Caenorhabditis elegans: one gene and its partner. The protein of the gene in region 1 interacts with the protein of each later gene in a pairwise test. Each region holds a gene or a part of one and is shown on either strand. Other genes may lie near its edges. The genes, in order: spdl-1 and frm-2.

Region 1 (4,105 bases):
TACACTAAACGAAATATTAGATAATTATTTTTATCAAAATGTTATAAAAATACCTTGGTGGTGCTCGTTTTGTATTGTTCTTCTTCGGCATCTGCTTTCCGGACGAAATGTGATGTCTGAAATGGAAAAATTAGAAAGGAAACGAAATTTTGCTGAGAAAATGATCTTAAAAACTTTTTGTCGAACACCATTCGCCACAGAGCGCATTTGCGTTCTTGTTCTACTTCATTCGGCGGCAAATTCAAATTTTAAAACACCCTCGCACAACACAAAAAATCATCGTAAATATTAAAAACGATCAATATCATGCGAACCCCACACCAGAACAAATTCGAACGGTTTACAATTTTTAAATTTTAAGCTCTCTCAAATGTTACTAGTAGTAAGAACTGAACCTATATCGAAAGCATATCCATACGAGATCTCCGAAGATTGTAGGGAAGAGAAAATCTGGAAAATATTTTTCTATATTCTACCCCATATTTACAATAATAAATATTAAAAATATATAAATCAATAAGTGATCGTGTAATATCGATAGGGTTTCGCGCTCCACTGCACTCCCGCCAGCGGCTCTATCAAGTTCTTGAACATCAACAATCTAAGAATGAGCGTTATAATAAAAATAATTTTATTTGACATGCATTAAATAGGAAACATTGTAGAATAATCGACAAAACTTGGTGAATAGAGGGGACGAGATCAATACAGGCGGTTTTATATGAATACGAGATGACTACGAACATGATGTTTACTCAGTTTTCCTTTGTTTCTGAGGTTGATGGCATTTGAAGAACAGCCGGTTTGAATTTTGGAACGGGCTCGGACAGTTTGATATAGTTGTAACGCGGCGTCGGAGTCGCCAATTTCTTTTCAGCTTGAGCTTTCATACGACGTTCTGCCCATTCTGAAGTATCATCTTTGATGGAGGAACGAGTGGTGAATTTAGCTGCTGGTTTCTGGAAAAATAATTATTTATAGTGAAAAGTTGCACTTTTATCTACCTGTGGCGTAACGGCAATACTGGATAATGAATGCCCTAATTGAGGCATGGGTTCCACGTTTTTCGGTTTAATGAAGAATGATGGTCGTCCATTGTTAAGAGTTTTCAGAGGAGCAGCAAGAAGCGGGTGCTCGAAATCCTTATTGACAACTGGTGCAGCTTTTCTGTGAGCACATTTATTGTCGAATTGTAGTTGCACAATGTCCGCTTTGAGATTTTCTACTTCCTGTTGCAATCCACGAATAATTGTCACGTACTTTTCGTTGTCCTTCATCAAACCGTCAAAACCTCCTTTCACGCTCGCAATTGACAATTCGAACGACTTGAAGTAGCCGGTAATCAACGCTCCCACTTCGCGTTTTGGAATTGACCTCATTTTAATGAACATTCTTTCCCACAAATGAACCCTTTCCGTTTCCAGGTGACAAACTCTGTCTCTGAGACGACGCATCTCTTTGACATCAATATCACTTGTGGTCATTCGGGTAACGTTGAATCTTTTTGTGGATGACCGAAGTCTTTCTTCGACTTCTTCTACTTCCATTCGAAGACGTTTTACCATCCCTTTCAGTGCTCGATTCTCTCCATGAAGAACTTTCAGGTCTTCTTCAACCTTCCGCTCGGCATCAATAACCTGAAGAATATTAAAAAAAATGCAGTTAATTGATATTTTTTAACCTACCTCAGAAAACATTGAATTTCCGCGTGCCGCTAATTTTCCTTCATGGGAGTTTCTCTCATCAAAAAGCTCTCCTTCCAATCTGGCAATTTCCTCATCACGCGTCTCCATATGATTTTTGAGGTCCCGAATATGATCCATCATCGACTCAATTTCATCTTTCAAGTTGACCGCTTCTTTTTCGAGTTCGGCGTTTCGTTCGTAAAGAGCAGTCGCCGTCTCTTTGTATTTCTGACAATCTTCGCTAATACGAAGCATTTCAGATTCTCCGAAGGAATTGGAATCATCATGTTCGGGAATCACTGATCCGTTGGCAAACTCCTTATTCTGAGAATTCAATATATTAATGTTGCCCACAATGATGAAAACCTACAATTTTTTCGAGTTTGTCGATCTCACTACGCAGTGAATCGATGAGAGCGTCCCGATCAAGAATTGTGGCGTTTTTTCCGTCCATCTCAACATGAAGATCGCGAAGTTGTTCACTCAATTCTTGTGCACGTTCTTCGAGTGAAAGTTTGGAAGAACAAGGTTTTCCCTGATTTTTGAGATCGTCTTCCATCTCCTCGAGCATTTCATCTTTTTGACGGAGAATTTTCTTGAGCCTCTCAACGTCCTGAAATATTAGGTTTAGTTGGTAATAGATGAAATGATAAAACGTTACAGCAAGTAATTGGAGCTTCTCCTCGTCGTCAGGCATACTGATTGAAGTTCGATTCTTCTGAAAACATGAAAATGTTTCGATAGAAAACGATCAGTAGAATATTTTTCACGGCAACACGATTTATAAGAACGTTTCACGCAGATCTATAGCTTTTGATGTTTTAATAAAGCGTAAAATTGATTGCGAATATATTTAAACTAATTTTATGGGAATATTTTGAGCTAAATTATATCAAAACGATTGAAAAACAATATTTTTAGGTAAATTGAGGCGCAACTCATTTTGAAATGCGTTGAATACCGCTGGTTCCCGCCGAGAATTGGTTGTTCACGATAGAGCGCACTTGCATGTTTTTATTTTCGTCAATTATTTTCGGATTTATTTCTGAAGATTCAAGGAAAAAACGAGTCGCAATGGCTTCTGGAGGTATTCCCACGCCATTTATGGGAACTGGAGTTAAACAAGATCTTCATTTATTGTGCAACAAGTTTATATCTATGGGATCCAACAGGTATAGTTAGAAAATGTATTATTTGATGGAAAATCTTGATTAATTAAGAATTCGAGACTTTGCTGATGTTTTTCGGGATATGCATTTTGAGACCATTCTTCATTATCGATTAAATCCTGCCGAATGCTTAGAGGTAGCTTTATTTTGATTTTATTTAGTCTATTATAATATTCCGGCTTTCAGTTTACTGAATACCTGTTACAACACGCAGCAATGTATTTCGGAAAAGTGAATGAAGTTGGAGCATTCAGGGCATTCAAGGTTTGAAATAGAAGTAAAAATAAGTCTGAAATGTTATATTTTCAGGAGAGGCTATTCGGAGTTTATGTTTGCTATGCGTTGTACAATTTGCAGCCAGTTGATCATGTCTGTCAGGTGATTAATTCTAAGTTTAATTTAGTTTTAAAAAATTTAATTCAGATTCCGGTCACTGCGGTACAATTCGAAGAGCTTCTCGAATTTCAAAAATCTTTAGAAGTCGAAAAACTTCTTGAACCAATTGCGGCTCTCAAAATGCTTATTCTGAAGAAAGCGTTTAGAATTAAAGTGTTTCAGTCGACATATGATCCGGCAACCCACAAAAAATACCTTGCCGAGGAAGAGTTGCCCTATTTTAACAAAATTCCAGTTGTAAGTAAGTTAAATTATTGGAATTTTTTCATAAACAGTTTCAGGAGCCGTTTTCCAGTGTTACGAAAATGCTCAGTTCTGATATTATGACGGAATTATCATTTATTCACGGAGTTTACACAGAGGCTAAGCAAAAACTTGGACTAAGTGATACTCTAACGGGGCTCAAATCACCATTACACGAAATCAAGGGCATTGTCGAAAAATATAAAGAACAGTTCGAAAGTTCTCCAACAAATCCAGAAATTAGTAGCGCTCCAGAGGAAACAGCTGGTTCAAGCAGATCAACTTTGAGAAGTAAAGCATATGCTGAAGGACTAAAACACACTAGACAAAGAAGGCATCTTGATCCAAACATGGAAGGTACATTTATTACACGAAAATATGTTTTTTTTTTTCAAAAGTCAGCGTTCAACTTTTGCAGAAAACTTCAAACATCTTACCGCAAGAACGTTTGGTGACATCGCCCAGGAATGTTTGGATGATAATGATGCTCAGGTTCCAATGTAAGCAATTACAGTTTAACCCCAAAATAATAACCTATTTTTACAGCCCGATTGATCGCCCTGTAAGACAACGGCGACGCAGAAAAACGACAACAGTTAATCCTGAAGAGTT
Region 2 (7,172 bases), on another chromosome or scaffold:
CAGTGAAGGGAAGGAGGGCAAAGTACTTACACAGAACACAGTCTGAATTGATCGAAAATCGGAAAGAAATTGGCTGTGCTCAAAACGATCGTCAGTGTTTGTGTAGTGAGTGGGGGTGGCGGGAGAGCATAAGATTTTGTTGGAGGAGGAAAGGAAGGAGAATGAAGACAAATAGTTTCTCTGGTGGAAAAAATGCAAAAAAGTGAAAAAATGAGTGAGAGAAAACAGGATGGAGGGACTGGATTTCAGAGGGGAATATCCCGATTGCACTCGAGCCGGTGCAAATAGACACACGTGGAATGAAAAGAGTGACCAGATTAGAAGACTCTAGCACTTTTCAGGCAGGAGCCGGAGTTTTTGGGTTTTTCGAGAAAATACGAAATTTTTGTATCATTTTATAAAGTGCGATTAGAAATTATCTGAAAATGTTATAAGAAAGAAAATCATTTCATTATATGAAAAATGACTGAAAACAACAAAATAAAGGCTGCAAATGTAAATACATTATCAAAAGTCTGTGACAATTCTCCGTTGATGTTGCATTGGGGGAACAATACGAGATGGCGGAGCACATCCATTTTGTGAATATTTTCGTGGCTCCTGGAAAGTTTATGGAGTATTTGAAAACATACTGTCCATCAATAAATTTAACTTACTTCAAATTGAGTCTGCATTCGAACAGCTGGTTGTGGAGGTTGTGAGCTCTTCCGCTGCTCCGATGCACTGCTCATTCTGGGAATTTTCGAATTTGACTGATGAGCTGGAAGTGGTGGCGGATGTGAGAATGATGTGGATGTTGAGACAACTGGACGTGGAATATATGAAGATGGGGCAGCAGAAGATGATGGAGTATCGAGATTTCCAATTGTTCCAACTGTTATTTTAGTTACATGTGACAGATTATGAGAGGATGATGATGATGATGATGAAGGTGTTAAAGGATCCGAAATAAATGGATTACTGTTGTTTACTGGTTTTTTGAGGTCTGGAGATGTTGGTAATGGAACGTTTTGAATTATTGAATGTGGAGAAGTTGGATCTGATTTTGCATGGGTTCGCTGTTGATCATTGGCTCTTTGTTGCTCAATTATCTGGAAAAAAGTTTGTTTGCATTTTTGAGTTTAAGCTAATTCAGAAATTAAAAAATTTTTAAGTTTTTTAAAAAATTGTATCCGACTTTCCAAAAATGATAGGTTAAACCTTTTGAACTGACTAGTGAGCAAAATTTAAAATTGAACGTTAGATCGATGCCAAATGTTTCATGAATCGAAAAATAAACTCTAAATAATTACTCCAATTTTTGTTGAATTTTTAGCGTGAAATGTACCTGTTGCCTCATTTCAGCTCTCTTTGCATCCCTAATTTGTGCATTTGTCACATGACTTTGCCGTGGACCATATCTCTGACTAGGTCTTCTTTCAAATGAGCATGATTGTCTTCGTGATAATCTTGCTCCTTCCTTATGAATTGTTTCATATTCTGTCCTGCCTCTATACTTAAATGTGCTTCCTAACCGGAAGAACTGAATTTTGCGATTCGCTTGGATTGGGCGAGATTTGAGGCGGAAAAATGCGTGTTGCTCGATGGCACATTTCCAGAAATGTTTTGCCGCTTTTTCAGACGTCAAGTGAAAAACGAACGTGTGCAGCTGGATTTGGCCATTGTTCTGAAAAAGTTACTATTTTTAAAGTTATTTTGCACATTTTTTTCAATTAATAAATTGTACAAAACTGCTACTCTAATCTTCATTAAACTTTTCATTAAAAAAACTCACCGATTGATCAGCATCCTCCTCGACAACCAGTGTAATTTTCTTATTTTTGAAATCCAATTTTTGTAGTTTTTCCCATAAAAAGAGTCCAATTTTCTGTGGACCATCAAATACCAGCATTCCTTGTGGAGTTAAACCCAATCGATATGTATTTCCATCTTTTCCTTCTACAATATGCATATCTACTCCGTACATTTCAATCCATCGTGCCTTATTCAAGTAGTTCAACTCCGCTTGAGCCGGAGTTTGTCCACTGAAAAATGTTATTTTAGTTTTTAGATTGAGAAGCATGAAATTGAAAATAAAACCAATTAGGTAATTTTTTTCTGTCCGAAATGTTTTTATTTGAAACTTAGGCAAATACTGCAATTTTCAAATAAGTGTATTTTTTGTTCTTTAAGATTGAAATTATCAAACATTTGTTATCAAATTTAAAATTGTATCTATGTAGTTTTGATTCTCAAATAGTCAATTTCCTGATTGAAATATTTACGTCTAACCAAGTTTCTCTCAACTTTCAGGTGTCCTCTAATTTGATCCAGCAGAAAATCCCGGGTTTCACACTGATTAGAATATTGATTTCTGGCAAATACCAGAACAATATAATGCATTTCAAAAATTGACATTTTCGGGAAAGTAATATCAAACTCTAAAAGGTTTTCCAGTTTTTAAATTTTTAGACTATATTTTACATGTGCTGTAAAGTTTTCTAACAATCTTTTTTTTAATTTTATAACAAAAAAACTTACCGGCACGCTTTGTACCTCTCCAATATCTCGACTTCCATTTTTTCATCTTGCTCCGGATGAAATCGAAATTCTGAGATAAAGAGGGCTGTATGAAGTTCTGGGTTGTAATCGCCTAGTTCTGCTGAAATTTTTTATGTTTAAAATGCTTAATTTTTTTAGAATTGAAAAAAAACTCACATTGAAGTGCAAAAGCAGCTAGTTCAATTGCTAACTGATGTGGACATTGCAGACGTCCTGAGGAGATATCTTGTTTTATTTGCAAAAAGAATTGATACCTGCAGAAATTTATTTTAAAAAAATACATTACTGATTAAGTATACCTTGTAAGCTCTTCTTTCAAATTGCTAGAAGGTTCCGAAGTAAAGAATTTAACACGAAACCGAAGAGTAAATGGAGGTCCAATTGCCACTTGTTTTGCAACTTTTTTTGTAGGGTCTAGCCAGTGCTGGAAATATAAAAAGGTTTGAAAAAATAAAATAAAGAAATAATTAAATGAATACCTGAACATTGAATGGATCTGTGTACTGCAGGCCAAAATAGTCCCTCTCTTCTAGGTCAAGCGAGTAGAATACTTCTTCGTAAAGTTCACTTCCTACAGCGTTTCTCTGAAAATTTATATTTTGAGATACTAGAATGGATGTTCGAGAATTATAAAAACTTTTTAAAAAATAATTAATCTGCATATGCAACACATTTTGCCACTTTTTTTATTCGCAATAGGTTTATCTATGATTTTTGACTCCATTTTTCTTTGAATTTCAGGCACTAATTTGCCAAAATAGTTCTACAAGAACCGACATTTAATAACAGTTATTTTCAAAAATAAAAAGACCACTCACCGGCACGACAATATTTAAATGTGCTCCATCAAGCAGAAGCACCTTGCACTGAACAAACTTTTTCGTATCAAAGCTTGCATCCTGTGTTTGTGACTTCTGTTGCTGTTGACGATTCCGTGAGAATCTGGCTGATAGACTTCGCAACATCCAGGACATCTGAAAATAACCAAAGAGTTTCTAAGAGTTTAAACCAACTTCTGGATTTGTTTGGCACACAGCTCTGGACTTTTTTAAAAATTGAAACTGTTGATTAGTATTTTTAGAGGTTAACATTTTAATTTAAAAATATTTCATAAACAAAAAATATTTTCAATTTTAAAAAAATCTTTTAGTTTTTGTTTTACTTTCAAAATTGAGAGATTAATTTTGCACATTAAAAAAATTCAAAAAAAACCAAAACTTTACACAACCCAAATTTTTAGAGTTACACTTGTTAGGAGCTATATTTTTTGAGCAGTACTCCAAAACGTCAATGAAGCTAATGATTATATCAAAAACGAATCAGAAATGAACTTTATTAGTGTTTCGAAATTCATATTTTTGAAAAAAAAATAGTAAGAGGGCTCTTACCAAATCAGCTCTTGCAATAACTTCATAGTAAAAAGTAAAACACAAAACAATTCTGAAATTCAACTTTTTATAATAGAAATACAATAAAAGTCAATCAATAGAATTCGACGATTTATGGCGAGCCGGCTGGTTGCCCGGTGCACCGATGTCTGCGTCTCACTATAAACCACTCTATCTCTCTGCTCTTCCCTCTTTTGGCCGGTTACGGTTTTGAACAGAGATGAAGAGCAAACGTAAATAAAGATGAAGAGATCGAGAAAGATGTAGAGACGCAGACAAAGAGATGCGTAAATTAACTTGAGGTTTGATCAATGTTTATCTATATTTTGTCGTTGTTGGGAATGGTATATGGGAATATCTAAAAGTGAGTGTCCGACCGAATCAAATGAATTGGAAAAAAGTAACATGTGTGTGCGCGCAAAGCATCTGTTGCACATCAGGGTCAGCAAAAGAGTTCATTTGGAGCAATAGGTACCAGATGTGGAGCTTTTGGAAAGAGCACCGAAAGAGAATACAGAGAGCAAAATGAAGCTTAGGGACACAGCTAAATTTGAAATGGCACAGGTTTATAAAAACACATTTGCACCAAAATAAGATTTATTGCGTCGGTACATTGGCTGTCTTACAGAATTTTTGAAGTTCTCTTTTCAAATTGCATTTTCTATGCAGTTGTAATCTTGCAATTAAATGTTGCACGACTGACCTTACTACAATTGTGTCAATTTTCCATTTTGTGTGCTCACCCAATGAGCATACAAAATGTTACTTGAATCATATTTTATGCTTGCATGTTACATCTTCATGATTTTAATGTGCTCAAGTCTATATTTTGCAGCATCAAACACTGATGTTCACGCCAAAAAGCTTTTAATAGGTGGTAGGCAGGCATGTAGGCTTAAAGATGACAGTTTTCCAACTCAAATAAACATAGATGTATTCAGTTGGTGAATCGGTAGACGGTAAGTTGCATTAGATTCAACCGAAAACTCACATCTTTTGGCTCTCTTTGAGAGTTCTCATCTTCCTCGTCACTTGACATAATAAAGAATTTCTGTTAAAAACTTAGAATTTCAAAATAAAGTCGAATGGCCGTTTGACTCTTCGAGGGTGAAAAACGAAGAATGGACACAACTGATAATCAGCTGCAACACTCGGAGTGTTGTGTGTCCCTTCTCTTATTCTTATCACTCTTTTTCTTTTCGTTCGATTCTTCTTCTGCTTTTAATGTACCCTTTCTCCACCTACTTTCCTATTTTCAGATTCAGAATTTTATGTTACGACGTGTTTTGTGTGTATTTGTATTACATACGGGGTGTCGATTTTTTGAGGAAAAGTGTCCTAAAAGCTGTTGATATTTTGAGTGAACCGAGTGTGTTGATAAGATGATAAGCGAGGAAAAGGGGTGATATAATCGCAAGTGATGACTGATGACTATTGATAGAAATAAGGAAGAAATGACTCGCTTGGAGGTCATCTCGAGAATCTTCTAGGGATTGAAAAAAAGCTTTGGTAAATTGTCAAATTGAAAAAAAAAATTGTTGACAAGTTTTTGAGCATTGCTGCATGTTCTAACCCCAAAATGTTCAAATACAAATAAAACATATTTAAGATATATTAATAGTTGGACAAAAGTACATAATTGTCACTTTTTTTGTTAATTAATAATTTAAAAGAAAATTTCGAAAAACCTTACTTTTATTGGGAATTGTAATTTCAAATTTTTCGAAAATATGAGGTTATACACCCGAAACAAAACTTACTTTTACAGTCCAATCTCTGATCTTTTTCAGATGTTTCTAAAAAATAGGTGCTCAGCGAGCCGCTGCTCACCGGATATCGTTCGTTTTTTCTGCAAGATTGACAATTGGTTAGTTGGAAAAAGAAGAATCAGTTGAATAAATAGAACGATGCAAAACGGCTGAAATAATAACAAAAAATACATATTGTGAAATATTTGGAGGGGTATGTGTTTCATGAACTGAAAAAGGAAAATAATAAAAAATGAGAAGATTGATACTAATATCCCAATTTATTTTAGATAGAAGAACATTAGAAAAAAGGTCGAACGAATCTTCCAGAATTTGGAAATTTACAAATACGAACTGGAATTTGAAAAAAATCATTTGAATAGAGTATTAATTTTAAAATTTTTATGTACATAGATACAATTACTGAAAAAGTGAAAATGTTTGATTCAACAATTATTCAAATTGGTACATCATACTTAAACTAAAGTACAACAATACTAATAAACAATTCGTTATTATAAAAACAAGTTTCAAATCATTCCTTTAGATTAGGAAGTTTAAAAAAGTGGCTGAAAATTTTGAAAACAAGCTTTAACCCCATTTTTTTTCTAGGTAAAAACAAGAAAAGTGAAAAAAATCTAATATCACAATTGCTTTTTTAATGAAAAATCTAGTTTTTCCTAGTCCTGCATTAACTAGTAGAGAAACTTTGATGTTTGGAAATTCGAAATTTGTTATCCAAATTTCGATTTTCGTGCTAAATATTTAAAACCAAAATCCAACTTTTTCTCGGAGAATAAATAAAAAATGAATAGATATATCATAAAAGAATAACTTAAGACGAACTTGGCCGAGTTAATCGAATCAAGAGGAACGTCCACACCTCCGAGATATCATGTGATTCTAGGAGAGTTTAGAGATGGATCAGTCAAAAAATGGCCTTGTAAAGCGGAAAAGACAGATGGAAAAGGTTGTAGAGACAGGCGGCTGTGTGGAGAAGTTGGAGGTAGGATATGCGAGAATAGTATATGAAGTGGAGAGATTTAGACAGAAATGGGACCCTCGAAAATGAAAAGAATAAGTGGGATGGGACTGTGCGCGAGAATTACAAATGTTATTCGAGTGGGTTGAGGAAGTGATGACTGTGAAAACAAATGGTAAATAAGTTTTGGAGTGAGAGGAGATAGAATTGAAACGCGTAGAGACGCAGGAATAAAAAGTGAATAGAAACTCTGTGTCAAGAAAAGAAATAGTTAACCACATGTGAGTGTTGAAAGTATTTGTTGAATAGAAGTGGATGTTTAGGTGAACAAGGATTTTATGAAAAAAGAGAAAGAATGTTTGAAGAGAAAATGAAAGTTTAAAATTGGACAAAAAAGTATACAGAAGGGTTACTGTATATCTAGTGAACTTTTTTTTCGAACTTTGGAATCGTATGAATTACTGTTCACTCCTGTTATAACTGGTTGGTAGCCACAAGATAAATCGTCGATCT

What was found.
Region 2: the proteins of spdl-1 (region 1) and frm-2 interact in a two-hybrid assay, tested with the Caenorhabditis elegans proteins (one study listed by BioGRID).

What each region holds. Positions count from the first base shown.
Region 1 is NC_003280.10:7,779,864-7,783,968, reverse strand, and holds spdl-1 (Spindly-like protein spdl-1), read right to left. Parts: upstream 2,404-4,105; 5' UTR 2,383-2,403; coding exon 2,347-2,382; intron 2,299-2,346; coding exon 2,056-2,298; intron 2,010-2,055; coding exon 1,686-2,009; intron 1,638-1,685; coding exon 1,005-1,637; intron 960-1,004; coding exon 756-959; 3' UTR 618-755; downstream 1-617. Other genes in the region: skr-17 (Skp1-related protein), read right to left, coding at 1-4, 54-91; snpc-1.1 (snRNA-activating protein complex subunit 1), read left to right, coding at 2,760-2,857, 2,906-2,990, 3,041-3,118, 3,164-3,232, 3,278-3,487, 3,532-3,850, 3,912-3,993, 4,040-4,105. UniProt on the Caenorhabditis elegans protein: Transient kinetochore component required for chromosome and spindle pole alignment and chromosome segregation during mitosis.
Region 2 is NC_003281.10:5,976,349-5,983,520, forward strand, and holds frm-2 (Moesin/ezrin/radixin homolog 1), read right to left. Parts: upstream 4,969-7,172; coding exon 4,921-4,968; intron 4,172-4,920; exon of another isoform or gene 4,036-4,171; intron 3,516-4,035; coding exon 3,360-3,515; intron 3,126-3,359; coding exon 3,021-3,125; intron 2,966-3,020; coding exon 2,841-2,965; intron 2,796-2,840; coding exon 2,698-2,795; intron 2,642-2,697; coding exon 2,521-2,641; intron 2,025-2,520; coding exon 1,775-2,024; intron 1,667-1,774; coding exon 1,328-1,666; intron 1,092-1,327; coding exon 657-1,091; intron 601-656; coding exon 508-600; downstream 1-507.